4 linked regions of the Elephas maximus indicus genome follow. The protein of the gene in region 1 purifies or fractionates together with the protein of each later gene. This does not show direct contact. Links are inferred from orthologs where the notes say so. Each region holds a gene or a part of one and is shown in the gene's direction. Other genes may lie near its edges. The genes, in order: PALS1, LIN7C, PATJ and AMOTL2.

Region 1 (7,806 bases):
TGCCAGATTTATGAAAGGTCAAGAAGTTCTGAACAAACATAATAATAATTATAAAACCCAATTAAATTAGAAATGTTCCTGGTTTGTCAGTTTGCTTTTTGTTTTTTTTCTTTTAGATATTTATTTAATAATTTTAAAAAAGGTAACTATTAATTTGTTGTTGTTTCATAACTTCTCTTATATTTGAATTAGTGAATCTACTCTTTTGATTTAGGTTATCTGTGATCATCTGGTTCAGAAAATTATAAGTAATTAACCTAGTATTTAGTTATGAAAACCTAGACTTCACTAGTACATAGAGGTGATAAAACCTTATAATAACATTAGTTAAAGGACTATAAGGAACATAATAACTTTAGTTAAAAATTTCATATATAATAGTGAATGGTAGAGTCTTAGAAAGTGAGATTTTAGACCTGTTGCAAATAGGTCAGATGTAATATTAGTATGTTTTTCTAAAAACTTTAATGAAATAAAGTAGCACAACATTTGATTACATAAACGTGTAATAGGGGATATTGGCAGATGATGGGTTAAAGAAATGCCAAGATAAGGAAGGACAAAAAGTATTTACAGTGGTTTCTCTCCTTGTGCACTTGACTTTACAGCTTGGCTTTCACTCCTCCTCCTTAATACTTGGTTACAAATTTGCCAGGATGACTCAGTGAGTGAACTGCCTCGTGACAAGGATGAACAGCTGTTCTGACTCAGTTTTAAACCACAGATTACCCATTTCATTCTATTTTAAGATGAATATTATATTTTCTTAACCCCTATAGTATCTATGAGGAGCCCTGATGGCACAATGGTTAAACACTTGGCTGCTACCCAACGGTTCGAACCTACCAGCCACTCCATGGGAGGAAGATGTGGCAGTTTGCTTCCATAAAGATTAAAAAACCAAGTCAGTTGCTGTCGAGTTGATTCCGACTCATAGCGACCCTACAGGACAGAGTAGAACTTCCCCATAGGGTTTTCGAGGGTTTAATCTTTATGGAATGCTTTCCTCCTCAGAGGAACTGGTGGGTCCAAACTGCCAATCTTTTGGTTAGCAGCCCAGTGCTTAACCACTGCACCACCAGGGCTCCTTCCATAAAGATTACAGCTTTGTAAACCCCATGGGGGCAGTTCCGCTCTGTCCTATGGGGTCAATATGAGTTGGAATCAACTTAACAGCAATGGATATAGTATTCACGTTAGACACCATATGCAAAGGCTACCAGAATCTAGAAAAAACTACTTAGTAGTTAACTTCCTTACATTATAGATGAGAAAATTTAGGCCCAAGAAGCTTGTCATGCATCCAAATTACAGAACTACTTCTCAGCAAAGCTAAAGCTCACATTCAATCACCTTGCCTCCAGTTTCTATACTTTCTACTCTTTTAGTTACCCTTCTTTTTTTTTTTCCCTTCAACAAGACCAGTAATTTGTGTCATTTGGAAATTGAGAATGTCTCAATTTATGAGAGAGTAGATTCCTTATTTGCCATAGGGTTTACTGCCCTCTATTAAAATGAAAATACTTTTAGGAGATAATAATAATAATAAACATCCGTATAACACTTCACAAAGGAATTCCCACATATTTTGAGAGCAGTGGCTGCTACCTCAAACTGATAGTAATCATAATTTTTCCAGGATGAGGTTCTGTGACAGAGGGATCTGAGCAGCTAGGGGAGCAAGGGCTCGGTACCTGAAGGGTTCATTTGAACGGGGATGTTTTGCATACAGGTAGTCCCTGACTTAAAATGGGTTTCAGTTCCAGTGACTCTGTCATGTTAGTTCTAAGTCGAATGCCTCATTTAAAAAATTTTTTCATTATTATTGCCTTTTATTGTCAGTATCTTTATAAATCCAATCTTTATTTCTCTTTGAGGGTTGGAAACATTACATATAAACTTACAGACATATTTTAATATATTCGTGTGTACATAAAATATTAAACAAATCATTAAAAAAAAATAAGTGAGATTCTTTGTAACTCGAATATCATTGTTATGACGGGGACTACCTGTACTGCCTGAGGCCAGGTAATTAGAAGGTATGGGTTTGAAATACTCTCTTTAGAGGTCAATTCATTGAATAGCTAGATATCAGTGGTTCTTAACTGGAAGTGATTTTGCCCCACCAGGGAACCTTTGGCAAAGTCTGGAGACATTTTTTATTGTCACAACTGGCAGTGGAGCAGGCCTACTGGCCTCTAATGGAGAGAGGTCTGCAATGCTGCTCAACATTCTACCATGCACAGGACAGCCCCCCACCACAAAGAATTATCCAGCTCCAAAGGCCCATACTGCCGAGGTTGAGAAATGCTCAGTTAGAGGAAGCTCCCTGAATTATTATTTATTTTATGCATTTAAGAACTTAGAAAGGAAATAAGTCATACCATGCTAACCATTTTTCCTTTTTGGGGATGAGTAACAGTTTCTAGGGAATCCTGGAGACTGCTTATCTGGATTTCGGTTGTACATTTCACAAATTCTCATGGTATCTCCGTGGAGGAAAATGGCAGGAAGACAGCTCAGGTAGGTTTGCAGCTGATTGTCTGTACTCAGAGTCTACCGATAAACATTTGATGGCAGGAGGATTAAGAGCTCTAGTGACGTCCTGCAGAGTCCCATCCTCATCCCTGTCTTATTAAACACTTATAAATGACTGGGATAAAGACTTGGATGGAATGCTGATCAGATACGAGGATGATAAAAAAAAAAAAAAAAAAAACTCTAGGAAGGGTAGGGATCCAAAGAGATCTTGGCCACCTGGAAAAGTGATTTGCTTAGTCGAGGGCACCACAGTTCACCCATAGATGTCCAGAGGAGAGTTAGAAGAAGGTGAAAGAACTTGCAAGTACAGACCTGGGGATATTGCGACTGAAGATGGGAAAATGAGAGGAAAAGAGGAAGGACATGATAATTGACATAACAGAAGTGCTTTGAGGAAGATGTGGCTAAATACAATAAGCATGCCTCTGGGAGAAACTAGCATCAATAGGCAGAAGTGACAGAAAGGCAGATTTCAGCCTAACAGAAAGGTTAATTAGTAAATATTAGAACCGTTCAAGAGTGGGGCACGGCGCCTTGGAACACAGAGTTCTTGCTTACTGTCAAAGCAGAGACCATACAATGGATTTATTATAAGTGTTGAGGTAAATTTGCTGTTATTTCTAGTTAGAATGCATTAAAAAAAAAATTATTTTGTTGTTGAGAATATACACAGCAAAACATACACCAATTCAACAGCCTCCACGCGCACCATCCGGTGACACTGATCACACTCCTTGACCTGTGCAACCACTCCCCTGGAGAATTGCTCCTCCATTAACACAAACTTACTGCCCCCTAAGCTTCCCATCCAATCTTTCAGGTTGCTGTTGTCAATTTGTTTCCATAGGTAGTTCTTAAAAGAGCACAATGCTCAAGGCAGATATCTTTCATTAGATAAGCTAAACTATTGTTTGGTTCCAAGAAGGCCCCAGGGTGTATCTTTGATCCAAGGCTCAAAGATTACATTAGGCAATAGTTTCAGGGGTTCATTCAACATTCATGGCTCCAGGAAGTCCGGAGTCCACGAAAATTTGAATTTCTGTTTTGTACTTTCCTTCTTTTGATCAGGCTTCTATAAAATGGTTAGAATGCATTTCAATCTGCTTTGAATTTCTTGCCCTATGGAACTCACTCCCAGAATTCTGCCCTATTCAGAAGGGAACATAAACAGGTCCTGAGTGGACCAGCCTTGTGTTGCACATGGGTTGGCTTGTTGTTGTTAGGTGCTGTCAAGTTGGTTCCGACTCATAGCAACCTCAAGTACAACAGAACAAAACACTGCCTGGTCCTGTATCATTCTCTCAACCACTGCTTTGTTGGAGCCCATTGTTGCACCCACTATGTCAGTTGATCTCGTTGCCGGTCTTCCTCTTTGTCACTGACCCTCTACTCTACCAAGCATGATGTCCTTCTCCAGGGACTGGTCCCTCCTGATAACATGTCCAAAGTATATGAGACAAAGTCTTGCCATCCTTGCTTCTAAGAAGCATTCTGGCTGTACTTCTTCCAAAACAGAAGTATTCAGGCGTTGGCCTAGGTAACTCTAAATCCATTCCAAAAGCAAGATTTTGGTCCTAGGAATTCTTTCTTTCAGGTTTTCAGAAAACTGTGTCCAGCTGATAGCTTTTTGGAGTCTTCTGCGGTAGTAGAGGATGTTTCTGTAGGACACTACACACACCAGATTTTTAATCAGGCCATGGCTTATTTCTGAAACAAATGTTAGATTATGTCATGTGCTTGACAGAACAAGCAGTCACCTCAGAGGGAAATCAGATTTTCTTCAGTAGGTGACGATCATCGAAGGAAAGAAGCGCCAAGGGCTGTAGAACATGAGCTTGGTTGGCTCAGGTACCCTTGCGTCCCCATGCAGCCTAAACTGCAGGCTTAAATCAAAGCAACTGCCTGATGCCTGCGGGCCTGAAGCAGCTAGCATTTTATATTGAGAGGCGCGCGAGTGCGCGCGACCGGCCGCTCGGGAGCTGCAGAGAGGGCCAATGAGCAGGCACTTTCTCCCCGCCGTCTCAGGATTGGACGAACCGCGCCAGCCTCTCTGCGGAGCAGTGGGCGGGGCGCACTGGGGAGGCACTGGGATAGGCGCGTCCGCTTCGCCAGAGTGCCGGGGGCGCGTGCGCGGTCTCGCGGAAGCCGCGGGGGCCGGTCTCGCGCGGTCTCGAGGTGGAGCCGCTGGCGGCTGTGGCGACGGCGGCGACGGAGGAGGCTGGCGGCGGGGCGGGGGCGGGGACTAAGGATTGCGAGGTGGGGAATCGGGAGTTTCTGGATTCTTTATGCGATATTTCAAGGGCTGCCGGAGGGCCGTCGCTTCTGCAGTGCTTAGGAGCGGCTGGGGCGGGAGGATCTACGGCGGCCGTGGCGCGAAGGTAAGAGGCAGACGGGGCGCAGCTCGGTGTGGCGATCTTAATCAACAGGTTCCCGGGAGCGCGGCGGGGGAGGGGCGGTCGGGAGCCGCGGCGGCCGGGACCCTGTGCCCCCCGCGCGCCGCGCGCTCCGCCGGGGAGGGACCCGGGGCTGCTCTGTGGACTGCCCCAGGCAGCGGGAGCCGCGGCCGCCGAGGGCGTGAGGCTAACCTTTGTCCCTCGGAGGAACGCTGCCTGCGCAGTACCCGTTCCTTCTGTCCTGGCTGGCGAAGGGACGCACCTTGGCGGGGGCTCCTGTCGGCCAGGCCCGGCTTGCAGGAACGCGCCGGGTATCGCCTGCCCTTTGCGTTCCAGCCTCTGAGCTCGCGACTCCCTTCTGGCCGGGTAGGGGATGTCGGCAGGGAGTGGGGGTGGGGGGAACACTTTAAAAGGCCGAATGCGTTCCCCTGCCTGACTCAGCTCCCGGTATTCCGCTGCTCATTGCGTTCTTTCAACAAATAAAGAGCTTCTTGCTTCCTTGTGACCCCTTTTTTTTAAAGAGCCTAATGGTTAATGGTTTCTGATACTTGGAGATTGCAAAGTGAACGTTGAAGCTGGAGATTGTAAGCTACGTTTCAATGAAAGGCGTTTCGGTTTTTGCAGCAAATTATGTAACTTCCTAATAACAACTCACCTGTTCAGTTGATGCGACGTACAGTAATGAGTACGGAATTTAGGTTTCGGTCGAAAGATTTTTCTTGGCGGTTTACGCTAAAATTAAAATCTGATCACCAGAAGGTTTTTAGAAGGAGTATGTAGTTGTGTGTGTTTTGTCTCCATATTCGTTTAGAATTGTTAAGAATTTCCATTTGGAAAACTTGTGAATAAGAATTTTGAAATTTTAAGTTGACTGACAAGCTGTTAATATTTCTGATATTAATGATTATTAAAAAGTTGCCGTCCAGTCGACTCCGACTCATAGTGATATTAATAATTGTATTCTAATTATGCCTTTGGATTATACCAGAAGTTAATTACCTATTAAATTCTGCAGTAGGCACAAATGAAATACTGGTTATTGGTGTCTTTGAAATATAAGTTGGTGGTAATAAAAGTTATTCATACTTCATGGATTATGAACTAGATCCCTGTGGACATAGCATGTCATAAATTTCAAAAGGCTATTGTATTAGACTGAAGCTATTAGTAATAATGTAAGAGCTTCAGAAATAAAACAGGCAAAAGTATGAAAAGCAATTCCTCATTTTATCTTTGTAAAAAAATTGCATAAATCTTAAACACTGTACTTGAGTGACTTTCGGCTAGCCAAACTTAAAGTTGACAAGTAAAGGGAAAGGCATTCATAATTCAGCTTGTTACAGAACATTAAAAAGGGAGAGATGTACCAGTCCACCTGAGGGTGACTCAAGTCAGTATAGTCGGTTTAGCTGATGTGGTCTAGTAATGTTTATTTATATGCTCTTCGTGAATTATGGTCTTTATTTAAAACCTCATCACACATATTCCAAGAAATTTGGTCCATTTATGTATTGGTATACTAAGTTGCCCTATTTCTCTGATTTCTGATTTGGGGGGTTTTGGGAAAAATTGTTCCTCAATATGGATAAGTGCTCTGGAATATAATTTTTGATTACAGTGTACACTTATTGAATCATAGGATCATTGAGTTGGAAATAATCTTAGTGACTTTGTTACCTATCTTATTTGTCAGGGAAAAGTGAGGCTTGTAGCAATTGAGTAGCCCATAGTCTGACTCTTAAGTTAGTGGCATACCCAGCCCAGTTAGTGGCATAGTTGGAAGTAAATGCTAAACTACTTGTCTCCAGATTCCAAGTCCAGTGCTCTTTTCGCTATATTCTATTACTATAAGTGAACAAACCACTAAGTTACCTTTCTCAAAATCATTACATGAAATCGGTGAGGTTGCTTTCCCTTATTCAAATTTTTCTTCTTTTTTTTAATAACCACTAATTACAGTTTGTTCATTCCCCTACTGAAGAGTTGTTTTCAATTTTTCAAACCATGTTTAATGAATATTCTTGTGCATGTCACCTTTAGCACATGTACGAAGATTTCCCTAGATGTATACCTACCTGTAAGAAGAAATACTGAGTCATAGGTTGATATGCATTTTCAGCTTTACTAGTTATATACAAAGTACCTTCTAAAATTGTACCAGTTTACATACCTGCCAACAATTTGAGTCTCAGTGCTTTCTCATCCTTGCCCACATTAGGCATTATTAGATTTTAAAAGTATCTGCCACTTGTGGGTGAGAAGTGTATTTTGTTTCCCTCCTTTTAAAGGATTTTAACATTGTCCTTAATTTATATGAAATAAAATAAACTCCTTCTGGTGTACAGTTATCTTGACAAATGTATAAAGCTGTGCAACCATCACGATCAAGACACAGAAGAGTCCCACCACCCAAAATTCTCTCGTGCTGCCCTTTTGTAGTCAACCTTCCTCTTCCCTGCTAGCCCCTGGTAACCAATGATCTGTTGTCTTCCCTGTAGTTGTATCTTTTCTAGAATATCATGTAAATGGAATCATACAGTATATAACCTTTTAAATCTGGTTTCTTTCACTTAGCATTATACATTTGAGATTCATCCACATTGTTGAGTGTAACAGCAGTTTTTTCTGTTTTACTGGTGAATATAGTATTGCTATGAGTCAGAATTGACGGCAATGGGTTTGGGTTTTTTTTTTTTTTTAATAGCATTCCACTGTATGGATGTACCACAGTTTGTTCATCCATTCACCAATTTAAGGACATTTGAGCTATTTTTAGTTTTTTGTGATTATGAATAAAGCTGTTGTAAATCTTTATCAGCAGGTTTTTGTGTGAACATAAATTTTCATTTCTCTTGGGTAAGCCTCTAGC
Region 2 (7,671 bases), on another chromosome or scaffold:
ACTATACTGTGTCCTACAGGGTCGCTATGAGTCAGAATCTACTCGACGACAATGGGTTTGGTTATAGACAATTTTCATATGCAGACAGATCTTAGTCAACAGATGAGGATACAGATCTGGAGCATATAGTGAAAGTGATATTCTCAAGGTCACACTATCTCTTGGTGGCTTAGCCATGATTAGAAACCAAAGCTCCTGACACCTAATCCAGTGTTTTTCCCGTAATATCAAACTGCTACTCATCAAATTTGAAACATGTTGTTTCCCAAATGTATACGTAATATACTAGACAGGCCAAATACATTGCCTGCCATGCCCTTATCCATTCTGAGGGAAGATGTTCTGCCCCCAGACCCTACAAAGGAGAGCCCTTAGTTAACCATGCATGGTGCCACACCGTCTATACTTCACCAGGGGAGGAGGTATCCTAAGCTCACAAACGGGTCCTCTCTGGCCTGGCTGGTGGCCACACTGCTTCTCCTTGCCCCTGACCTTGGGTCTCTAGCTCCTGCTTTCTCTCTGGATTCCTGGCTGGGACCCAAAGAAGAGCTCCCTACTGTTGCCAGAGTGGGTCAGAGAAGCAATTAAAATTTGCGGAATTTTAAAAAATCATTTTAAATTTTGGCACCCCAGATTAAAAGCCACAATTGCCCTACCTTAGTTTTTATTTTTGAACTAGGGCCATTATAAAAAGAGGATATGAAGTTTTTTTCTATCCATGATAAGATATAACATAGATTATGTATTTTTAAGGAGCCCTGGTGGTGCAATGATTAAGTGCTTGGCTGTTAACCAAAAGGTCAGCTGTTAGAACCCACCAGCTGCTCCATGGGAGAAAAGACCTGGCAATATGCGGCCATAAAGATGTCAGTCTAGGAAACCCTATGGGGAGTTCTACTCTGCCCCATAGGCTTGCAATGAGTCGGAATCAACTCAGTGACACACAACAACAGCATGTATTTAAAAAAATAATTATATCAACCTTTTCTATCTTTTTTTGGATTGATTATTTTTTAAGATTCCATTTTCTCTTTTTTGGCTTATTATCTCTCTCTCATAGTTGCTTTAACTTATTCAAGTCTACATTCAAAGTAATATACCATTTCGTGTATAAGAATCTTACAACAGTATATTTCTACTTCCCCTTCTCCTTTGGTAAACCTCAATAAGTTGTTATAATTTTTGTTTTAAACAATCTATTTCATAGTTTTGTTCCTTTCTATAGATCAGCATTTCCTTTTGGAATTATTTTCCTTTTGCCTGAAGAACTTCCTGTAACATTTCTTGCAGTGCACATCTGTTGGTGATGAGCAAACAACAGATAGGACAAATAGAAAACAAATAGTGAGATGCTAGATTTTAAACTGAAATTTATCAATAATCACATTAAATATAAATGTGATTTTGCATTTAAAATCTCTGCCAATTATAAGGCAGAGATGGTGAGATTTGATAAAAAGCATGACACAATTATATGCATATAATTTACATATAAATACTTTAAATAAAAACACAATATATAAACACAAAAATACATTAAAAGTAAGAGAATGAAAAATGACATACAACAGTAATACTAATCGAAAGCTCAAGTGGCTCTATTTCATAGCAGATTTCAGAGCAAACAATATTACCATGGATAAAGAAATAAAAGCATATGATAAAGAAGTCAACTTAATAAGAGGAAATAAATATGTATGCACTAATATCAGAGCTTCAACATGCATGAAGCAAGAAATAACAAAACTGCAAAAAGAAATAGGCAAATCCACAATTTGAGTCAGAGATTTCAACACTTCTCTCTCAATATTTGATAGAAAAAGTAGATAGAACACAGTAAGGATATAAAATATTTAAACAGCACCGTCGGCCTTGACCTAATTGACGTTTATAGACCATTCTACCCAACAGCAGACTTTAGTTCCTTTTAAGTACACACAGAACCTTTACCAAAATAGAACAAATTCTGGGCAAGGCAACAAGTCTCAATATATTTAAAATAACTCAAATCGTATACAATATTTTCTCTAATCACAATGGAAAAAAATCAGAAATAACAAAAAGATATCTTTAAAATACCCGCATATATTTGGGAACTATGAACACTTCTAAATAACTCTTGGGTGGAAGAAGAAAACCAGAATGTATTTTGAGGAGAATGAAAATTTGTGAGATGCAGATAAAGCAAAATTTAGAGGGACATTTATAGTTTTAAATCCCTGTATTAGAAAAGGAGAAAAGCTCAAATCAAAGAACTCAGCTTGCACATTAAGAAGTCAGAAAAAAGAAGAGCAAATTAAACTCTAAGCAGAATGAAGGAAACAATAAATATAAGAACAACAATAAAAAAAAAAATAGAGAAAACCAGTTCTGGCTCATAGAGAAAATCAATAAAATTGATATACTCTATCTAGAATGGTTTAGAAAAAAGAGAGGGAAGACTAAATAAAAATAATAAGAATATTATTAACAACTTTGTCAATAAATTCAATAAAGCTTAGATAAAATGGACACATTTCTTGAAAGATACCTACTACCAAAGCTCATTCAAGAATATGCTCTTTAAATATCCCTATGTATTTTAAAAATTGGATTTGTGGTTAAAAACCTTCCCATGGGCACACACATATATATATATATATGCAAATCTAGGCTCAGATGACTATGTTGGTGAGTTCTGTCAAACCCTTTAGGACATAAATAATATTAATTCTACACAACCACCTCTAAGAAACTGAAGAGGAAGAAATACCTGCCAACTCATTCTATGAGTCTACCCTTATCCTGATACGAAAACCGGACAAAGACATGCTAAGAAAGAATCAGATTGATATTCCTCATGAATGTAGATGTAAAAATTCCTTTAAAATTTAGGAAATCAAGCCCAGCAGTATATAAAATGATAATACATCATGACAAATTGAGTTTATCCCAGGAATGCTGAAATTTCATACAACTGTTAGGAAATGGACCCAGACAGTATAAGAGCAATGTCTGCATTTGTCTTCCTAGTGCCTAGCAAGGCACCTGGTAGATATTAAACATTTAATAAACACTTACTGAATACATTTGTTATAGAACAAATGACAACACTGAATAAGAGATAAGCACATGAATACCACCTCAGGGTTTTTAAGGGCCATGAAAGACCAAAGAAGGGAGGGGGGAAAAAAAAAACCCATTGTGGTAGAGCCAATTCCAACACAGAGCAACTCCACAAGGTTTTCAAGGCTGTGAATCCTTACACAGAAGCACACTGCCACATACGTCTCCCTCAGAGCCACTGGTGGTTTCTAACCAACCCTTCTGTCAGCAGTCGACGGCTTTACCCACTGCATCACCAGGGCTCCTTCAAAGAAGAACAGTATGGAAAAAGGGAAGGCTTAGTAGAAGTGGTATTTATTTGGCACGGAGCTGAAGAAAGGGTTCAACTTAAGGGTGGACACAGTTCAGAGAATCAGGTGAGATAAAGAAGGGAAATCCAGGCAAGAACAACAGGAGTGAAAACTGGAAGCAGGAATAAACATGGTTTTGAATATACTACCTCAAATGGAGTGGTGGCTGCTCTTGGGGGGGTAACGAGAAAAAAGGTGAGTTGGATGAGTTAGGGTCAGAATATGCTAGGTTTCAGCAATAGGAAATAGGGAAAAAAACATTGAAAGTTTCTGAACAGACACCTGTGGTGATGAAACCACTGTTCAAAGTAAAAAAAAGAAAAGTAGTGGTGACATTCATGATGGATTAGGAGAAGAAAATACAATAGCTGAATGGAGAGGGTTAGACCCAGGGCAACCAGGAGATGTTAAAGTAATCCTGTCATGAAATGTTTAAAACTTGTACATGAAAGCATCTAACTCAAGGTCAACACAGCCTAGGGCTTGGGTAAATGTTAGTGGAATCTAAACTGAAATTAGAAACCTATTTTTTTCTTGATTCAGGAACTTCTCAGTGGTCCTAGGAATCCGTAACGCATCGAGAATATTATTCGCTTTATAAAATTTCATTTATATGAGATTTTGGATTAGCTTTTTAAAATTATTACTTTAGGGTGTACTGAAATGCCTTGCTCTCTGCCTCACCCAGATTGTTTCACGCTGTTTTTACTAAACGCACATTTCCACCCTTACTCTCAAACAGATTTGTAGGGAAGATTCAACCGTTGAATTTTTAAAATTAAAGAACTGCCACAAAAGGAGAAAGTGCTATGCGTAGGCAGTTTATTTTCAACATCTCATTTACACGCCTAATGGCCACGTACTCCCAGAGATTAAGAATGGAACGGAGCTTGGGGATAATACCCCAGTTCCACAGAAGGGATTCGGGGAATGCGAGGGTGAACTGTACAGGGTCACGAAGCCGCTAATTGTCACGCAAGGACTAGAAGTCCAGGCTTCCTGACTCTTTTACGCGGGGCCAAGAATTCCAATAGAGTAGGATAAAGCTTGAACCCCGAGGCAAGGACTAAGTGTCTGGAAAGAAGCTTTGGTAAATCTCGGGAGGTCAAGGCACTCCAGAATTTCCAGACTCCTGACAGAGAGGCCAAGGCGTAACCCCACTGCACAGCGGACCGGCACCCTCACCCGCACCTCCCGCTCTCGCGATACTAGCCGGCCCTCGTCCTCCGGGCGAAGCCCCGCCCAACACAGATGCCCCTCTGTCGTCATTTCCTGTGGGTCTGCAGGCAAAGGGAGAAGATGGCGGCGCTAGGGGAACCTGTGCGGCTGGAGAGGGGTGAGTGCTGCCAAGGCCGGATCGGGATGGGCGGAGGGGGTGGCAGTGTGCCGGGTCGCCGGAGGGGAGGAGGGGAGACCCAGGCTCCGACACCCGGAACTAGGCGTCTCTTGCGCTGGCTCCGGCGACCACCGAAGTCGCTGCGCCCGACCCCGGGGAGGGCGCTTGCGGTCTCTTGATTGATACCCAGACCCCGCCTTTGCTCTCACGAACTGTCCCGAAGCACAGCACAGTCACACACAACATGATTCCTGCGTTCGCAAACACACACTCGCTGTCTGGTTGCACATAGCAGACGTGGCATTCAGAGACACGTAAACCGGAGAAGGAAACATCACACACCACTTAGAGCTTTCGTTATGTAGCCCTCACGCAGTGCCTCTATATATTCGTGCATAAACCCAGTGTCTTCGCCTTCACTTACATATCGCACGCTTTTCAGACGCAAAGTACATTCCCACAGAACCCCATTTATTTACACGGAAAAATTCTGTCGTTACTTTCACCACTTCACTTGTATTTGGGGCGGGGTATTTCCTGCCTTTAGTGCCCCTCCCAGGGGTGGTGTAGGTGTTTTACTGACTTAGTCTTGGAAAGGGAGTTGCGTAACTTGGTTACCTAGGCGGAATAGTGGTGGATGGTAAGTAATTGGGATTGCAATCTCGTTCGTTTTGTACAAACCCTACAGTTGCTAGCTGCAGTTGGTTACTTGCCTTTTAGGAAAGATGCCAAGAAGAATAAAACCTGTTCTGCTGAGTAGTTAGAGAAAGCTTGTTGAAAATCCTTGACTGTGCTCCTACCAGTGTCCTGCTACAGATTTTCAGCATTCCACTCTTTCCTCCCCAAATCCTTTATTTCAAACAATTTCAAAGTACGCGTTTGACATAGCAGTGTCAGAAGTCATCGATGAGACTTAAGGAGTACAGAATGAACAATTTGAGTACCAGTAGTAAACAAAGTAGGTCCCTGGGTGGCCCACACGGGTTGCATTGGACTAACCTGAAGGCTGTAGGCTGGAACCCACCCACTGGCAATGCAGAGTAAAGACGTGGTGATCTGCTTCTGTAAAGATTACAGCCAGGAAAACCCATTAGGAGCAGTATTACTCTCTTACACATGGTGTAGGTCCAGGAGTCTAAATTGGCTGGATAGCACCAGGTTAATGACAATGTAGATTGAAATTATCTTGCAGATATTAACATCTTGCAGTTACAGTCTGCATGCTAAGTAACTTCTCTAAGAAGGGAATACATTTTCAGAATTATTGTACTTACAGAAACCTTTTTCATCATACCGTCACACAAACAAATGCATGCTTAACATTGTTAGTTTGTTCCTTATGGTTTTCAGTTGGGAAGCCTCTTTTTAAGTGAAATTGTTTCTCTGCAGCCCACCAGGCTATTAAAGCATTATTTTTGACAGAGGAGTAGCTACTCTGGGAAGATTTGCTAACTTAGGCCTAAGACTGTGACGTCTTCCTCCTGAGTACAGTGGCACTGTGCTTTGTAGCTGGGAACAAATTTGTTTGGTGTTAACAGGAGTAGGTGTTTTTCTTTGAAAGCTAGTTGTAGGATTCTGACATGTTGGCGGTCTTTTGTATTTTTAACTGCATGCAGCACACAATAATAGGGAACTTCACATTTGACATTTATTTAGTTTTGGTAGTTATGGCCTTCCCCCCACCCCAGGTCCCCCTTCTTCAGTTTCTAATTAATAGTATGCATTACTGGTGGTAACCATTTAGCAGCATAAGACAGTCAGATTAACATCAATTCTGATTCTTTAGAATTCTTAACAGACTTTATTGTCAAACAGTTCAATGCATTTTACAGTGTCACATTGATATGCCTGATCAAGATCCTGAGTGCCTTCTGAATCATCCAAACGTGATTCATTGGAACGCATTTAATCACGTATTAGGTACAGTGTAAAGAATATTTTACTTTTGCAAATTTTTTGTTAATTGGAAATTTTTATATGGCTTATGTATCTTAACTTTATAAACCAAAATAATTGATGAACCATCAGTCCTGTTCATCAGCCATCCTGGTGGTGGGAAATCATAGTGGAGATTTGTTTGTTTCCATTGCGATTGATTAACGTCGTTTTCAGCTTTTATTTACCAACAATCGTGAAGATGGCACAGGACTGGGCAACCTTTTGTTCTGTATATATAAGATTGCCAAGAGTCAGAGCCAACTTGACAGCACCTAACAACAGCAACGTTTTTATTACCTGAAATTGAAAAATCTACTTCTTTCTTCTTTACGTTTATTCCTAGTTTTCCATCTGTAAACATAAAGGCTGTATAATTCCATAAAAAAATTTTTCTAGTCCTTCAGTATAATATGACATTCAGAACTTCCTTTTTTTAAGTCAAAAAGAGATACGGTAATAGTAGAATAATAGGTATTATAGCCCCCTGGAGTAAAAAAAACAAGAAAAAATAAATAAAGTAGAGATAATCATTAACACTATTATAACATGACTCTGAAACTTATAAAATTTCATAATTCAGAAAACGTATTTGAACACTTATCCTCACACTTCCCATTGAGAATTGCCTAACATGCTAAATATATTTTTATAAATATATATAACTCCTTATTATTTCTTATGATTAATTGATGCCAGTATAATACTTATGCTTGTGATATGCCAGGCCCTGTTCCATATATTGTTTGGTTCTGTTGTCAAGTAATTTATGAGGAAGATAGCATTATTTCCATTTTACGGTGTTGGCAGCTGAGACATAAGAAAACCATTGCCGTGGAGTTGATTCCAACTCATAGTGACCCTGTAGGACAGAGTAGAACTGACCCATAGGGTTCCCAAGCTGTCATCTTTATGGAAGCAGACTGCCACATCTTTCTCCCATGGAGCACCTGGTAGGTTTGAACTACCTCCCTTTCAGTTTGCAGTTGATCCCTTTAACCACTT
Region 3 (7,348 bases), on another chromosome or scaffold:
ATGTCATTTCAAGGTTAACACTGTAGAAATAGAGGCTCCAGCTATGGCATGGTGAAGATTTTACACTGTGCCTGGGTATTTATAAATAGCATCTGGGGTCTTAAAGGCTCACTATACTAAGCAGCCATCTGTAAGTATCTCTGAAAGACAGCAATAAAATAGAGTTCTCTTTCTTCCAACATCTTCTAATAATGCTGTTCTATTAGGAAATAGAAATCTAAGTCTATGCAGAAGAAAGCGCTCTCCCTCAAATGGTGGTTGATAATTTGATCAAAGGATTTCTTGAATACTCTTGATCAAAAGGAGGGAATGGATAAGAGCTCCAGAACAGAGGTGCCTAGCATATCTAGGGTGACTGGCCTAGGAGTGGGCCTGACTGCATTTTGTTTTGCACTCCTGCTTCTGCTTTAAAGCTATGACCCTTGTACTAATCTCAACAGTTTGCTGAACAGACAATGTGGCTATGCTTAAACAAGTCCAGTCCAGCCCAGGCTATGCTTAGACAAGTCCAGGCAAGCCCAGGAAGGGTCAGAGAAAACAATCTTTACCAGAATGTGGCTATGCCTATGCAGCCTGGGCAAGCCCAGGAAAGTCCAGGCAAGCCCAGGGAGGGTCAACCAATCAGAATTTTGCTGGGAGGTTCCTGATCCTGCCCTATAACTATCCCTGTGAGGCAGCCACCCACTTGGATTTGTTGGTTCTCACTTTGTATGGGCTAGTGTCTCCCCATTCAAATGCTCCTTCTGCTTTCAATAAATCTGTTTGTTTGGCTTCATCATGGATTGAATTGTGTCCTCCCAAAATATCTGTCAACTTAGCTAGGTCATGATTCCCAGTATTGCATAGTTATCTACCATTTTGTCATCTGATGTGATTTCCCTATGTGTTGTAAGTCCTATCACTATGTTGTAATAAGATGAAAGAATGGCAGTTATACAGAAAAGATCTACAAGATTAGATAGTCTCTTAAGTCAATCTCTTTTGAGATATAAAAGAGAGAAGTGAGCAGAGAGACATGGACCCTCATACCTCAAAGAAAGCAGTGCCACAAGCAGAGTGTGTCCTTTGGACCTGAGGTTCCTGTACTGAGTTGCTCCCAGACCAAGGGAAGACTAATGACAAGGACTTTCCTCCAGAACCGACAGAGAGAGAAAGCCTTCCCCTGGAGCTGCTGCCCTGAATTCAGACTTCTAGTCTACTGGACTGTGGGAGAATAAACTTCTCTTTGTTAAAGCTGTCCACTTGTGGTATTTCTGTTATAGCAGCACTAGATGCGTAAGACAGACTTTAACAGAGTCTGAGAGTTTTACTCTAGGATACCAATAACTGTTACCAATTTTTTTTTATCACTAAACAGAAACTCCTGAAGCCTGAGTCCATTCCGACTTATAGTGGCCCTATAGGACAGAGTAGAACTGCCCTACAGGGCTTTCAAGGGTGTAAGTATTTATGAAAGTGGACTGCCACATCTTTTTCCTGCAGAGCAGCTAGTGGGTTCAAACTGCTTACCTTTTGGTTAGCAGCCAAGAGCTTTACCACTGCGCCAACAGGGCTTTAATAAACAGAAACACACTGTATCCTAAACAATGATTCTTTCTTTCAAATCCCTCCCTCCTGCCCCTGGCAAAGTGGTTTCCTATTTTCTTAGGGATGAAGAATAAACTTTTAATACCGTAATCTAAAGTTCCCTGTAGTATTTTTAGGTCCTCCATCATCTGTCCTGGTCCCCCATCATTTGCTACTCTTCTTGGCTGACTCCTCACTGTCCCAGTGTCTGCCATGCTTATTCCCATCTATGTGCTGCTTCATTTATTTAGCGCTTTTTATATGCCAGGTATATGCAATGCATGTATTTCTTTATTTAACCTGAAGTGAGCACTGTTATCACAATTCTAATGATGAGAATTTGAAGGGTTAAGTAACTTGCCAATGTCACATATTTTAGGAAATGGTGGAGTCAGGATTCAAGCTCAGATCTTCTGACTTCAGAGAGTGTGCTCTTAAAACTTAAGTACATCTTCATCATTCTTTGGATAAGATACTCTTCAGAATTCTCAGAGGTAGATATTGCCCAGCACAGAATAAGCTCCTTAAAAGATGTATAAATTAAATAATTAAAAAAAAATTGATGTAAGGGCTAAAGGAAAGCTCACATTAAATTAAGGAACACAAAAATGTAGAGAAAATTAAATTAAATGTGATAGAGATGACTTTTTGCTAGGATAGTCAGGGAAGTAGTTTCTTACAAGTGAGACTAAGCCTGGCTGTGGAGGGACATAGGGACTACAGGATATTCCAGGGCAGGGAAACAGAGTGAGTTAGGTGTGGTGCGTTCCACAGATGCCGAGCAGACCTCTTTGGTCAAAGTAAGATCCTGGAGAGGTGAAGTGGGAGATAAGGTTGAAGAGTCAGAAAGAAAGAGAAGAGTTAGGATGGACTTAAATACTAAGGAGTTTGAATTTGTTTCATGATCATTTCAAAGTCACTTAAGATTTCTTAGTAAGGGGGAATATGTTAATAACTTTCATTAATGTTAGAGTAGGAAGAGATCCATTGTTTTCAAGTTGGTGTTTTGCTGCTTCCCCTACCCCACCCCAACTTGGGAAACATTTCCTCAACTTTGCCTAAGCAAACTGCAAACACTCTTTAAGACCTGTTTAAGTCCTAAGTGATCATTTCAACAAACACAATAGATCTTTCTTTCTGAAGGTTCTAGCTTAATTCTATTTGGTAATTTAAGTTTTGTGTAAGGTTATTTCTTTTAATAGTTTGTTAGTTCATAAAAAGTTGGGTCCATGTTTACATTGTGGATCTTCTTGCAGGCCTAATGAGTTGTATTTCCTTTAAAACAAGCAAACAACGATAACTATAAAATACAAGTGCATGATCTTACAAATGTCCTTGTGTTACGGTTGTTTTGTATTGGGCCTCCTTTTCCTTGAGAAACGACCCCATTTTATACGTCCCCTCAGAATCTGTCACAAACCAAACCTCTTGCCAGAGTCAATTCCGACTCATATCAACCCAATACGACAGAGTAGACCTGTCCCACAGAGTTTCCAAGGAGCAACAAAAGGATTCAATTGCTGACCTTTTGGTTAGCAGCTGAGCTCTTAAACACTGCGCCACCAGGACTCCGAGTCTATCACCAAACCTAAAACCAAATCTGTGGCCATCGAGTCCATTCTGACTTATAGTGAGCCTACAGGACAGAGTAGAACTGCTCCATAGGGTTTCCAAGGAGCACCTGGTGGATTCAAACTGCCAACCTTTTGGTTAGTAGCCATAGCTCCTAACCACTACACCACCAGGTTTTCACAGTGCTTAATAAATACTGCATTTATTTCATGAAAAAGGTAACTTGATTGGTTGTCTTTATTGTTAATGTGTGAACTGTATTTAAACAAAGTCAAATGTCTGTTGTCAACATTCTAAAGTGAATTCAAGAGTGAAATAATGCCATTGTGGGTTTTACAAAGATCTTTCTCAAAGTCAAACTACAGTATCAAGAATATAAATGTTAAAATGTATAGCGAAATCAACACTGGACTTAGTGTGGGTCCCAAACCTTGGACAAATCAATTAAGCTATTGGATGCACATTTCTTCACATACTAAATGAGATAATGTATAAGTAAGCACTTGGGAAACCTTGGTTGCCTAGTGTTTCAGAGCTACATTCCTTAATCTAAAGGTTGGCAGTTCGAATCCACCAGGCGCTCATTGGTAAACCCTGTGAGGCGGTTATACTCTGTCCTATAGGGTCGCTATGAGTGAAATCCACTCGATGGCAACTGGTTTGGCTTTTTTTTCTTTTGGCATACGTAGGCACTCCAATAGATTCCAACTAGATGAGAAGAAAAGAATCACCGAACCACGCCTTTTGTCTTCTGTTTACTCTCCTTGGACTATTTTATGTTGCATCAGGGAGTATGGAAAACACAACGGAGGGATGTGAGAAAGAGAAAAGAAAGGGGCAAAAGAACAACAGGGGACTGAGCAGATTTGACCAAGTAATTTTAGCAATGTCTTCCTTTAATTTCCTTCATCTTGGGTCTTGCTATCAGTCCAGCTATTCCGTAGCACTTCTGTCTGACCTAACTGCCCCCCATTCGTCGTCTCATCTGCCCACTCTGCCCCCACATTCCGCCTTTTCTAGGGTCTCGGTCTAAGTCTCTTTAACGCTCCCTTTCCTAACAGAACTTGACCTGCAGAAAGCAAAGATGCCAAACGCCCATACCTCCTCGGGTCAGCCTCCTGCGGCCCCAAACTCCCTCTCCCGCCCCACCCCCGCCACCCCGGCGCCCCGCCCCGGGTGGGGAGGGTCAGTGCGAGGGGAGGGCCTGCCAGGTGAGGCGCGGTCACCCTGGGCCTTTCACTTCCGCCCAGGTGAGGGAGGGCCAACGCCGATCCGTCCGCCTCGGGCTCCCACCCGCGCCTCCGCAGGACCAGGTAAAGTGTGGGCTCCCGACTCCCCCTCCTGCGTCCGGAGCCTGCCTTCTCTGTTCAGACAGCGCCCTCCGCCCGATCCGAGGGAGCTGGGAAGGGAGGCGAAGAGCGCCGCCGGGGCGCTCGCCCGGGGCAGGGGGGTGCGGGGCACTTGTGCCGTGCGTCAGCCCTGGGCCTGGCGGCCGGACAGGGGTGTCTGCCCTTCAGTGTCGGGCCATGTGATCCCACAGTGGCCCCAGTGCTCCCTGCAGGGCTCGCCGGAGGCCTCCGGCCGCAGAGCTGCAAAGCCTCGGTAGGCCCTGCCAGTCTTCAAATCTCGGCCAGCTGTTGTTCCGGGAGTGGCACGGATCCGATTTTGCGCCCAGATAGGTGCCTACGCTTCGCCCCAAGAGCTGGGCAGAGTTTTTCCCTCAACTGGTGATAGTGGGAGGAGTGAATAGGTGGTGTCCTGCCTCGGGGGCCCGGAGAAGGAGAGAGTGGCCTGTCCCGCCTGACGGGCGACTTGGCCCGGTCTCGACGGTCGCCCAGTCGTCACGTCGCCGAGGTTTCCAGGTCAGCGTCAGGCCGGCCAGGGCTCTGGTAGCCTCACTTGGTAGATGGGGAAGATTTGGAGGAAAACGCTCTGGCCCCTAGCTTTTGGGGGAAGTTCCTGGATTCTTGCTTTAAGTCAAGCTCTAGGAAAGCATTTTCAGATCCATCCCACACTGCGGAGCGCCCCGCCCCTCCTGCAAGCCTAGCAGGCGGAATTAATCTCCCTCTGGAGTGCTCGTTTAGCATTGTGTCCTATCGCCAGATGGCTCTTATCACTTTGAATTCGAATGGGTTGTTTACTGGTTTGTCACTGCCGTTGAGTAGGTTATCCCTTCAGGACCTTATTTCTCTAGGTTGTTTTTCAGTTGCATTTACGGTCTGGCTATTGGTAGGTGCTCAACAAGTGTTTCTTAAATGAATAAAGAAGCCTTCTGAAGACCTAGAGGAAAAGGAAATCTCAGTTCCACGGATGGTGATTCTACCATATTCTATGCCGTTTAAGCTCTTTTTGACTGTCAATTTGACAATGTCAAATCATTTGCACACATGTTTTTTTGAAGGAAAGCTTGGGAGGTTTGGGGCTGAAAACTCATGTTGGTCCATGTTGCGACACCAGAAAATGTTAGGTGAGGTCATGACTTTTCGCCAGAAGGAGCATGAACGGCCTTTATAAATATTAAAAAATTTTTTAATAATTAGAAAGTTAGAAAACTGTTGTTAGTTGCTTTTCAGCGGGCTCCGACTCCCAACCGCCTTATATATAACAGAAGGAAATGTTTCCAGTCCTGTGCCATCTTCACCATCACTGGTCTGTATGAGTCCATTGTTAGAAAGTTAGGAGGTGCTTAATGTGACATAATTTATAAACTGGACTGTAAAGAGATTTGCCCTTACTTGTTTAGATCCTGTTTATGGTCATACAAGGAGCCCTGCCACCAGGTCAGTGATTAAGCACTTGCCACTAACCAAAAAGTTGGTGGTTTGGACTCACAGTGGCTCTGCAGAAGAAAAGATCTGGCAATCTGCTCCCGTGAAGATTTCAGCCTGTGGGGTAGTTCTCCTCTGTCACGTAGGGCCCCTATGAGTCTGAATCATCTGGACAACATACAGCAATTGTTCTGATGTCAAGCCCACGTTATATGATAATTGCTGTTGTTAGCAGATTGCCTGGTCTTTTCTGTGGAGCCACTGGTGAGTTCAAACCACTGACCTTTTGGTTCACAGCCAAGTGCTTAATTATTGTGTCTCTAGGGCTCCTTATCAGAATAATAGTCTCTTTTAAAGTTGGATAGAAATTGTTTTAAACCCTCATTTATGTTTAAAGATAAGTTCAAATCACATACTTATTACTGTTTTTGTAACATGTATTTCTAAGTATAAAACTAATATGTATTCATTGTAAAAAATTGGAGAAACCTTAAAAAACGGAGCTAACAGAGTATGTGTGCCTTCCACCCTCCATTTGGTAACCACTAATAACATTGTACTGTATTTTCTTTCAGTTAGTATTCTTACAATTAAAAAGAAAAATTTGTGTATTTTCCCATAGTGAGTTCATGTTTGGAACCCTACGATTCTGAGACAGTGGCGCTCATCATTTAGTTATCCTTGCAATTGTGTTTTTACTTAAAAGCATTTAATAATTATTTTTAAACTTAACAGTCTGCATTTATTTGCTAACACTCCAATAGCTCTGTTAAAGTTTAACAAAATGCATTAGGGTGGGGAAGTCAAAATGGGGTCTAATTTATTCAGTTAAAATTTTTCTTATTTTGGTAGTAAAGTTTTTTTGTTAAACCAAAGACTGTTCTACCCTAATGTTTGAGATTGCTTGACCTTTGCTGTTTTTTCTTATGTAAGGACTTTTGCATAGATTTGGATGCCCTTTTTTAAAGCCCTTGTTTTAACTCTGGTGTATATGGAAATTTACTGCCTGTTATACCAATTCTTTAGCCAGTGGGATAGATTAATGCTGAAAATGTACCTTCCACTTATTTTTAATGTGTGCACAATTGTGCAGTCTCTAGAATTTTGAGACTTGGAACATTTGACTCTGTTTCTCCATTTTCCTGAGTTTTTGGGAGGTTTAAATGAAATAGTGTTTAAGATGTGTTTTGTAAACGGTAAACCATTATTCTCCCACTTTTTTCTTCTTCACTGTGATGTGTAATTGTGATAAAATTATGGAGTTGTGCTATTTTTATCAGGAGGAGCTCAAGTTAGTGAGTGTTCTCACTGATAATTACTTGGATAAGAGCTGCCGTCAAGTGGGCCCCTGAATCATGGCGACCCCATGTACAAGGGAATGAAACGTTGCCTGGTCCTGTGCCATCCCCATGACCAGTTGCGGATCAGACCGCTGTGATCCA
Region 4 (7,944 bases), on another chromosome or scaffold:
GAGCTATGTAAGTGTGTATTAAAGGCAGCATTTCTCTAAAGACCATATGAGAATCCAAGAGAGGCCAAAATGAGAAGAAAGCTCAGTTAACACAACTGGAGCTATTAGTCCATCCTCAGAGGGCTCTGGGAGATCCCATTCCCTGGATGGAACCCTCTCCCAAACATCTTCCCTCCCACCAGGGATACAAAGCCCACCTTGGGAGCTCTGGGTGGAGCTGATCCCTCCAGCTGGAGATGAGGGTCACTAGTGGGTGCTTTTCTATCACACTGATCCTGCCCCAGCAGCCACAGAAATCTGTCCTGGGTGTTTTCTACAAGGAGCCCTGCAAACCCAGACTCCCATCTTCCTCCCCCTGCCCCCCACCCCCATCAGTATTCCTGCCATCTCTCACCAAGAGCCAGAGGGTCTTTCCAGGCAGCAACAGCATGTCCACCAGTCCAGGACCACTCAGTACAGGTAGCTTTGCAGAGAAGACAGGCGTCTGGGGTTAAGTTGATACTTCAAAATGATCTTCCCACTTTCACTGCCCCAAGGATGCCAGTCCCTAGGTCCCCACCCCCACCCCCACCCCCTTCTGATGGCTACCCAGCCAAGAATAAACTGAAGGCTGTACTCCTCCAAAGTATCCATTTATTCCCCCATGTCCATTAGACCCATCTTCTGTGTAGGACTGGGAACTGTGGGGGTTTTGGGCAATGGGTGACCCCAGAGATTGGAGTGGAAATGGGGCGATGGTCAGAGCTTCCTCCCCAGTGTCAGTCCTCACCACTTGCAGGAGTCATCCCAGCCCTGGGCCTACAGGAGCAGCAGAAGCAAAGGACCCCAGAGGAAGGCCAGGGGCCAAGGAGCAGGCGCATTTTGGAAAGTCAGGGTTCCTTCTTTTTCTAGGGCCCTGTTACCACAACTATGATGAGGCCCAATTTCACAAATGTTCCAACTCAGGAGGAATTAACCCCTGAAGACACAGACCGTGTGAGGCAGTCTGCCCCTGATGCAGAGTCCAGGCCTGATGCCTGGGAGTGGAAGGGGGTGGTGGTAGAAGGAAAAGGCTTGGAAAGAAACCTAAAGGCAGAGGGTTCAGAAAACGGGTGTGGGGGGTGGTGGACTAGGGCTTGCCGGAAGACAAAACAGGAGACCCCCAGTTCGTTTTCCTTCTGCTTTTGGAGGTAGTTGCACTGAAACTTCCAATAGCCAGGCTCTTCCTATGAATTTGTTCCCTGCCTCAGATTCGGGTGGGCTTCCTGTTTCCCATAACCTGCCAAAGGAAGCGTCCCGCAGAGGCTAGAGAGGGAATTTCACAATTGGCCGAGTCCTTCTTTGATGTTGCCACCTGGGCCTAAGCCCCTTCTCCACCAACTGACCATTTGGGAATTGGACCATTCTCTTCCTAGTTCCATGGGAGGGCCTGCTAGAGTCCAGCTAAGCACTGGCTTTCATATTCCCATTGGGTGCAGCCGGACGCAGCTGCAGGGCCAGACTGAGGCCATATCACAGGCCCAGGCCCAGGCCCAGGACGAGGCGGGACGCGGGTGTGGGCTCCTGCTTCCCTGGCTAGGCCCCGTACACACCTACAATCCAGCCACACCCCTGCAAGCTGTACTCAAGCCTGGCTCACTCTGAGAACTGGGTCACATCTGCATCTTTCCTGGGCGTGACTCCAGACCCAGTCAGCCACACTGTCATCTGGGAAGAATCTTTACCTGTTGCGGGGGGTGTTAGAAAGAGGGGGACAAGGTGTATCTGAGAGAGACAGTGCTTGGAGGGAAGTTCTGGCTCACCAGGTATTAGACACGGGGGCAGTGGCAAGCCTCTCTTCCTCTGCTATGAGCAAAGATTTCTATACTAGTGCCCACCTGTGCATGCCTGCCTCCAGCACATCTGAGCTGTGGTCACCTTCTCACCAAACGGCCCTGCAGAGCCAGGTGTGACTGCCAGCTCAGGAAAGCTTAATCCACTGGGGTCTCTGCCCTGCCTGGGGAGGCCCTGCTCTCCATCCCTCTTGCAGAGAGGAGGAGAAAGAAGAAGAAAAAAATTGAGTGTAAATTTCCCATGCAGGTTTCAGAAACCCTACTTCCCCTCTGGAAACCTTGGTGATGCAGTGGTTAAGTCCTTCAGCTGCTAACCAAATGAGCTGGAATTGACTTGATGGCAACTGGTTTGGTTTTTTTTTTGGTTTATTCCCTGTCTGTTGCTCTGGTCGCCAGGCCCTCCCCATGCCTCCTGGGCCCAGGGACACAGAGGTGAGCAGTTACAGGGGCCCGCTCATTGCCCGCAGTAGGCTTGGCCACTCTAAGACATACCTCCTTGACTCTAGCTGCCTTGAGCTGGCACCTTTCTGCAACCATCTCAAGAATGTTTGTGAGGTATTGTGTCAGGTGACTCTACAAATGCCCCTGAAACATTGTATCATGTGGCTTTTCCCCAAATTTTCCAACCTCAGGATTCACATGCTCACACACACTGACTCTCACATCTCCACCAAGTGTTTCCAAGAACACTGTCCACCCTCAGGGTAAGGCAGCCCGGGACCTCTTCTCTCTTCCTTTTCATTTTTGTATCTAGTTGGGACGGTGGCACATTGGCCAGAGCTTCTCTCTGTGAGGAAGTTCTCATGTGGTCCAATGTCCCTCAGCTTGACACGTATGGCTCGTGTTCTCATTCATCTCAAATCCAATCCCTATTCGAAATGCAATATTTGGTTTCCAACTAAACCACGTGCACTCACACACACACACACTTTTTGCGAGAGCTTTATTTTAAAAAAATCAATAATATCTCTAGCTAATAAATAACTTTCCAAGGTTGCAAAGTTTTCTTGTCTCCGGCCCCCTCCAGAGGCTCTGGGACTCGCAAACTCCATGCTCGGGGGAGGGAAGGTGGTGGGGAGAGCAGCCAAGGATGAAAGTCAGTGCTGACCATCCTGGTGGACAGAGGACAGTCCCCCAGGTGGATGTGTTGAGTTGCCCCAGGTGGGCAGGTCTGTGGGGACAGGAGGGGAAGGAGGAGGTGGGGAGGTGTGTCGGAAAAGGTTTGCAAAGAAGGTAAGGGATTACCATAGTCACAGATGGGTCAGCATATGGCAGGCTAGGAGGAGGAAGAGCCCTGGGGTAGACGAAGGGATTCCCCATGGAGGAACTCAGACATAGGGGGGCCCTGGTTGGCAGCGGTGAGGGATGAGGTGAAGAAGAGGCAAAACAGGGAGGAGGCAAGTGGAGAAAGGGAGTGCTCCCAGAGCCTGACCTGTCCATCTAGGGAGCCCTGACTCTGGGGGTCACGGAAGAGTTTTGAGAAGGAGAAACTGGGTAGGCCTGGTTACCTGGCTTCATCGTTTACTCTGTTACCGTGAGTAAGCTACTTAACCGTTCTGAGGCTTGGTTTCCACATTTATAACACTGGGATGATAACAGAACTCCCTCAGAGGGTGTCCGTGAGATCTGAACGGAGCTGCTGCGGGAAAAGCAGGTGGTGGCTCACTGCGGCGGGTGACTCAGTTAGTTACAAAAAACCCTGCGCGGTCGAGTCAATTCCGACTCAGCGACCCTATAGGACAGAGTAGAACTGCCCCATAGGGTTTCCAAGGAGTGGCTGCTAGATCCGAATTGCCAGCCTTTTGGTTAGCAGCCATGCACTTAGGCGCTACCAGGGCCCCAATTCAGTCGGTTCCAAAAAAACTCATTGTAGTCGCTTCAATTTCGACTCATAGCGACCCAATAGAACAGAGCAGGCCTGCCCCATAGGGTTTCCAAGGAGCAGCTGGTGGATTCCAACTGCCGACCTTTTGGGTTGCAATTCAGCTGATTGCCAAGAACAAACAAACAAACCCCAAACCCACTGCCTTGGAGTTGATTCTGACTCACAGCGACGGGGTAGAACTGCCCCACAGAGTTTTCAAGGAGCGACTGGTGGATTCGAACTGCCGACATTTTGGTTACCTGCCAAGCTCTTAACCACCAGGCCAGCAGAGCTCCACTCAGTTGGTTACCAAAACAAACAAACAAAATCCATTGTTTCCGACTTGATTCCGACTCATACTGACCCTACAGGACCAAGTAGAACGGCCCCATAGGGTTTCCAAGGAGCTGCTGGTGGATTCGAACTGCCGGTCTTTTGGTTACCAACCAAACACTTAACCACTGCACCACCAGGGCCCCATTCAGTTCGTTAAAATCAAAACCCATTGCCGTCGATTCCAACTCATAGCGACCCTATAGGACAGAGAAGTACAGCCTCATAGTTTTCAAGGAGCGCATGGTGGAGTTGAACTGCTGACCTTTTGGTTAGCAGCCATAGCACCTAACTACTATGCCACCAGGGTTTCCAATTCAGTTGGTTAGGTGGGTCAAATTAACCACAAGATTTTTCAACCCAGACTGACATTTCCTGTGGATCCAAAAAATACGGGTCCTAAAAGAGCTGTTGAAGGTGTCTGTAAACAATAAAAGTGCAATTCAAAGGTTGCCGCTGGGCGTGAAAGCAGTGGGGGTTAGGGACCAGGCTCAGTCGCAGAAAGCAAAGTCATTTCTTCGCCTGGGGTATGGTCCAGGCCAGGCCGATCTAGGCCTCCCTGCTGCTTCACACACACAAGCTGCGCTGTCGTCCCCTCCTGCAGCAATGCCGGGAGGCGGGAGTCCCTCCGTATTGTTCTGCCAAAGGGTTTAGGGGTGAAGGAATGAGAAGAAGGGGAGAACGGGGGCGGTACGGGGTCCAGAACTGGGAGAAAAATCGGCCCCAGCAGCTTCGACGGAAAAGGGCAGCCACGAGGCCCCTGGGCTGCCCAGGCGGGGAGCTCAGCTGCCGCCGGACGCCCAGCCCGCAGGACCGCCTCCCCGGAGGAAGGCGGGGGCCGAGAGGAGCGAACGGGAGGAGGCGAAGGGCGGAGGAGGGCGGCGGGCTGCGAGGTTATTTGTGGTTCTCTTTGATCCCGAGGGGGAACCTGAAACGCTCACATTCCTGGCATAGCAGCCGCCTCCGGCGCGGGCCGACCCTGGGGCTGCGCGTTGAGGCCAGAGCAGCCAGAGCGTCGGCGCCACTGCTGGGTGCACACCTCCGCCGCCGAGCTGAGTCGAGCAGAGCCAGGCCGGGCCGTCGGTTCCGACTGCGCGGGGCACCCACGGGCCTCAAGGGTAAGGAAGGCCGCTTGGCGCTCCGGGGAGCGCGCAAGGCCAGCAAAGACGCGACCCAGCCGAAGGCCGAGCCTTGGCGCAACCCGGCGTTTTCCGGGAGCCGGAGCCCCGCCGGTTGAGCGTCCTCAAGGCGCAGTGCGCACTTTCGAGGCGGCGGCAAAGCCGGGAAAGGGCCTTTCCGCCCAGGTGACAACGCGCCTTGCGCCCGGGTATCTCGAATTGCGCCGGTCCCCTGCGCTTGGGGAGGGTGCAGCCTCTAGGGAGATCAGGGTCGGTGTTTTGGGTCTCCGTTCGGGCATCGTGGCGCGGAACAGGGCTGGAGTCGCCGCTTCGAGTTCAGGTTGCAGGGCCTTGGGGGTTGGTTTGGTTAGGTAGGGGGGTTACAGGTGTCTTTGCCCCCAGCTAGCCCAAGAATTCGTCTTTGTCTTCCTTGGAAAATCCTCTCTGGAGCCACTAACCGGCTCTCACGTAGAAAGAATGCAGCCTGCAGTCCAGCCCGGTGACGTCAGCGCTAGAGTATTCGGAAAACAAAGAGGGCTTGGAAGGGGGAGAGGCGAACCCCGGACGCTTAAAGACCTCTTCAGGCCTTGAGCTGCGCTCGCCCGCTTCCTCCTGGCGCACCGGTGGCCACCGAGTGCTTATGGTCAGTTGGGAATAGGGGTAGGGCGAGCGTGAGCCCAGGCTAAGGCCAGAGATGCGTTCCTGCTTAGAAAAGGGGTGGCTGGGTGGGTGAGTTTAGAGAGCAGGGAGCGCTAGCGCAGCAGAGGCTGGGGTTGGGGGCGCAGATTTTAGTAAGGGCTCAGCCCTTTGGTATGGGAAAGGATGTGCAGCCGGCGGCCTGACAGGCGTAAACTCAAGGATGAGAAGCCCCAGGAGTGTGCTCTGCTCTCTAGCATAGTGTTGGGGGCCTGGAATCCGTCGGGAGGAGGATTCTGCCGCCCCCCCACCCCCACCCCCCGCCTTCCTCAGCCGGAGACAGCCCAGACAGTGATTAACTTAGGAAATGCCCTAAAGATGATGAAACTCCAGGGCAAATTGGCCTGTTTGCTCTTTTCGTCGCTGAAAACCCCGGGGTCTTGCATCTCTACTCGGGGGGCGGGGGGGGACACGGAATGGGTACCAGAAAGGTTGAGGACGGGGTGCCCTCCTGCCTCACCCCCCCGCCCGGGGCTGGTGGAGTCCTGGGGAGGAGAGAGTGGACTGGGAATGGCTGTTCTGTCCACATGCCAAGACCAAACTGAGGAAGGGCCCTGGGGCTAGCTTTGTGCCAGAGGAGGGCTGCATTCCTCCTGCTCCCCGCCCCCCCAAGACCTGTGGAGGTGTGGGTTTTGTTTGGTTTTGCCTGAATTCTGGTTTGAAGGTTTGTGTTAGAGGAGGCTGTGGAAAGGAGGCCGGGCAGGTGGGCAGCCTTCCAGGGCATGAGCCAGTGAGATGCCCAGTCTTAGAAGGGAACAACACCTTCTTTGGATACTCGTCTCCCTGCACTTTGGGCTCACAACCCCCGGGGTCCCTGCAACCCAAGGCCTCCCAATTTCCCCCTTCGCTCCTCCAGTTGGCTCAAGTAGGTGTTACTGATGTTACAAAAGATGCTGAGTGCCCATCTCCTGTATGCCTAGAGGGCCCGCAGGGGCTTTTCCAAATAGCAAGGTTGGGGGAAAGCGGGGAGAGGTGATCATAGGGCTGAAGGCATCATGCCCCTCCTTTCATTTTCCTGGAGTACCCATGCAGTTACTGTCGGCACACAGAGACTATGTGGCTAACCCACTCACCTTGATGGGTAGGATCTTTTTGCCTCAACTCACACATTGTCCTACTGCACCCTCCCGTCTTTCATCCCTTATCCACCACTTTAGATGCATTTTCTTCTTCCTGTGTACTAGCAGAGTGACTGCCAAGGTCATCCCATGACAGGGAGCCCTGAGTTCATTCTGTCAACAGCCCTTGATTAAACAGAGCCCAGGGTCTGCCCTCCAGGGAGCTCGCTGGTTCAGGGGAAAGCAAGGGAGGTGGGTAGTAGGCTCAGGGGGTAAAGGGTAGTGGGTTGGCTGTGCCGAAGCCAGGGCTCAGGCATGCTTCCTTTGGGGTAGATCTGGCTAGATCTGAGCTGGTCCCCATGGGCCTGCCCTTGAATCACTCATCTGCAGGGGCTGTGATTGCTGATTGATGACCTTCTGGGCTGCTGTTGTCTTCCTCTAGTTGTAGTAAGTCTTTGTGAATATTATTATGGTTGGACCAGGCTGTAATGGAAAGTCCTCCCCTTGCCCACGTGCTCCCACTCATTGTTCTCTCTCTCCTCTCAGGTGCTCTGGGCCCAGGTGCTGCTGGCCATTCTCCAGGCAGGTGTGTGCAAGCCAAGGAAGAATGAGGACGCTAGAAGACTCCTCGGGGACAGTCCTGCACCGCCTCATCCAGGAGCAGCTGCGCTATGGCAACCTGACCGAGACACGCACACTGCTGGCCATCCAGCAGCAGGCCCTGCGGGGTGGGGCTGGAGGCACAGGGAGCCCCCAAGCCTCCCTGGAGATCCTGGCACCTGAGGACAGTCAGGTGCTGCAGCAGGCCACGCGGCAAGAGCCCCAGGGCCAGGAGCACCAGGGTAGCGAGGCCCATCTGGCAGAGAATACCCTGTACCGGCTGTGCCCACAGCCCAGCAAGGGCGAGGAGCTGCCCACCTATGAGGAAGCCAAAGCCCACTCACAGTACTATGCGGCCCAACAGATGGGACCCCGGCCACACATTGGGGACCGGGAGCCACGCAGGGCCACAGGAGGCGGTCAGCAGCAGGACGAGGCCCTTCGGGAGCTGAGGCACGGGCATG

What was found.
Region 2: the proteins of PALS1 (region 1) and LIN7C purify together in Homo sapiens (affinity purification with mass spectrometry; 3 studies listed by BioGRID and IntAct, counting the BioPlex papers as one, with this or other methods). This does not show direct contact. The link is inferred for Elephas maximus indicus from reciprocal best matches to the Homo sapiens genes PALS1 and LIN7C.
Region 3: the proteins of PALS1 (region 1) and PATJ purify together in Homo sapiens (co-immunoprecipitation; 5 studies listed by BioGRID and IntAct, counting the BioPlex papers as one, with this or other methods). This does not show direct contact. The link is inferred for Elephas maximus indicus from reciprocal best matches to the Homo sapiens genes PALS1 and PATJ.
Region 4: the proteins of PALS1 (region 1) and AMOTL2 purify together in Homo sapiens (affinity purification with mass spectrometry; 3 studies listed by BioGRID and IntAct, counting the BioPlex papers as one, with this or other methods). This does not show direct contact. The link is inferred for Elephas maximus indicus from reciprocal best matches to the Homo sapiens genes PALS1 and AMOTL2.

What each region holds. Positions count from the first base shown.
Region 1 is NC_064828.1:79,588,958-79,596,763, forward strand, and holds the start of PALS1 (protein PALS1), read left to right. Parts: upstream 1-4,794; 5' UTR 4,795-4,922; intron 4,923-7,806. UniProt on the Homo sapiens protein: Plays a role in tight junction biogenesis and in the establishment of cell polarity in epithelial cells.
Region 2 is NC_064825.1:82,361,738-82,369,408, reverse strand, and holds the start of LIN7C (protein lin-7 homolog C), read left to right. Parts: upstream 1-4,667; 5' UTR 4,668-4,694; coding exon 4,695-4,731; intron 4,732-7,671. UniProt on the Homo sapiens protein: Plays a role in establishing and maintaining the asymmetric distribution of channels and receptors at the plasma membrane of polarized cells.
Region 3 is NC_064821.1:106,972,163-106,979,510, forward strand, and holds the start of PATJ (inaD-like protein), read left to right. Parts: upstream 1-4,336; 5' UTR 4,337-4,451; intron 4,452-4,472; exon of another isoform or gene 4,473-5,000; intron 5,001-7,348.
Region 4 is NC_064844.1:45,186,591-45,194,534, forward strand, and holds the start of AMOTL2 (angiomotin-like protein 2), read left to right. Parts: upstream 1-4,931; 5' UTR 4,932-5,126; intron 5,127-5,152; exon of another isoform or gene 5,153-5,769; intron 5,770-7,426; 5' UTR 7,427-7,487; coding exon 7,488-7,944. UniProt on the Homo sapiens protein: Regulates the translocation of phosphorylated SRC to peripheral cell-matrix adhesion sites. Required for proper architecture of actin filaments.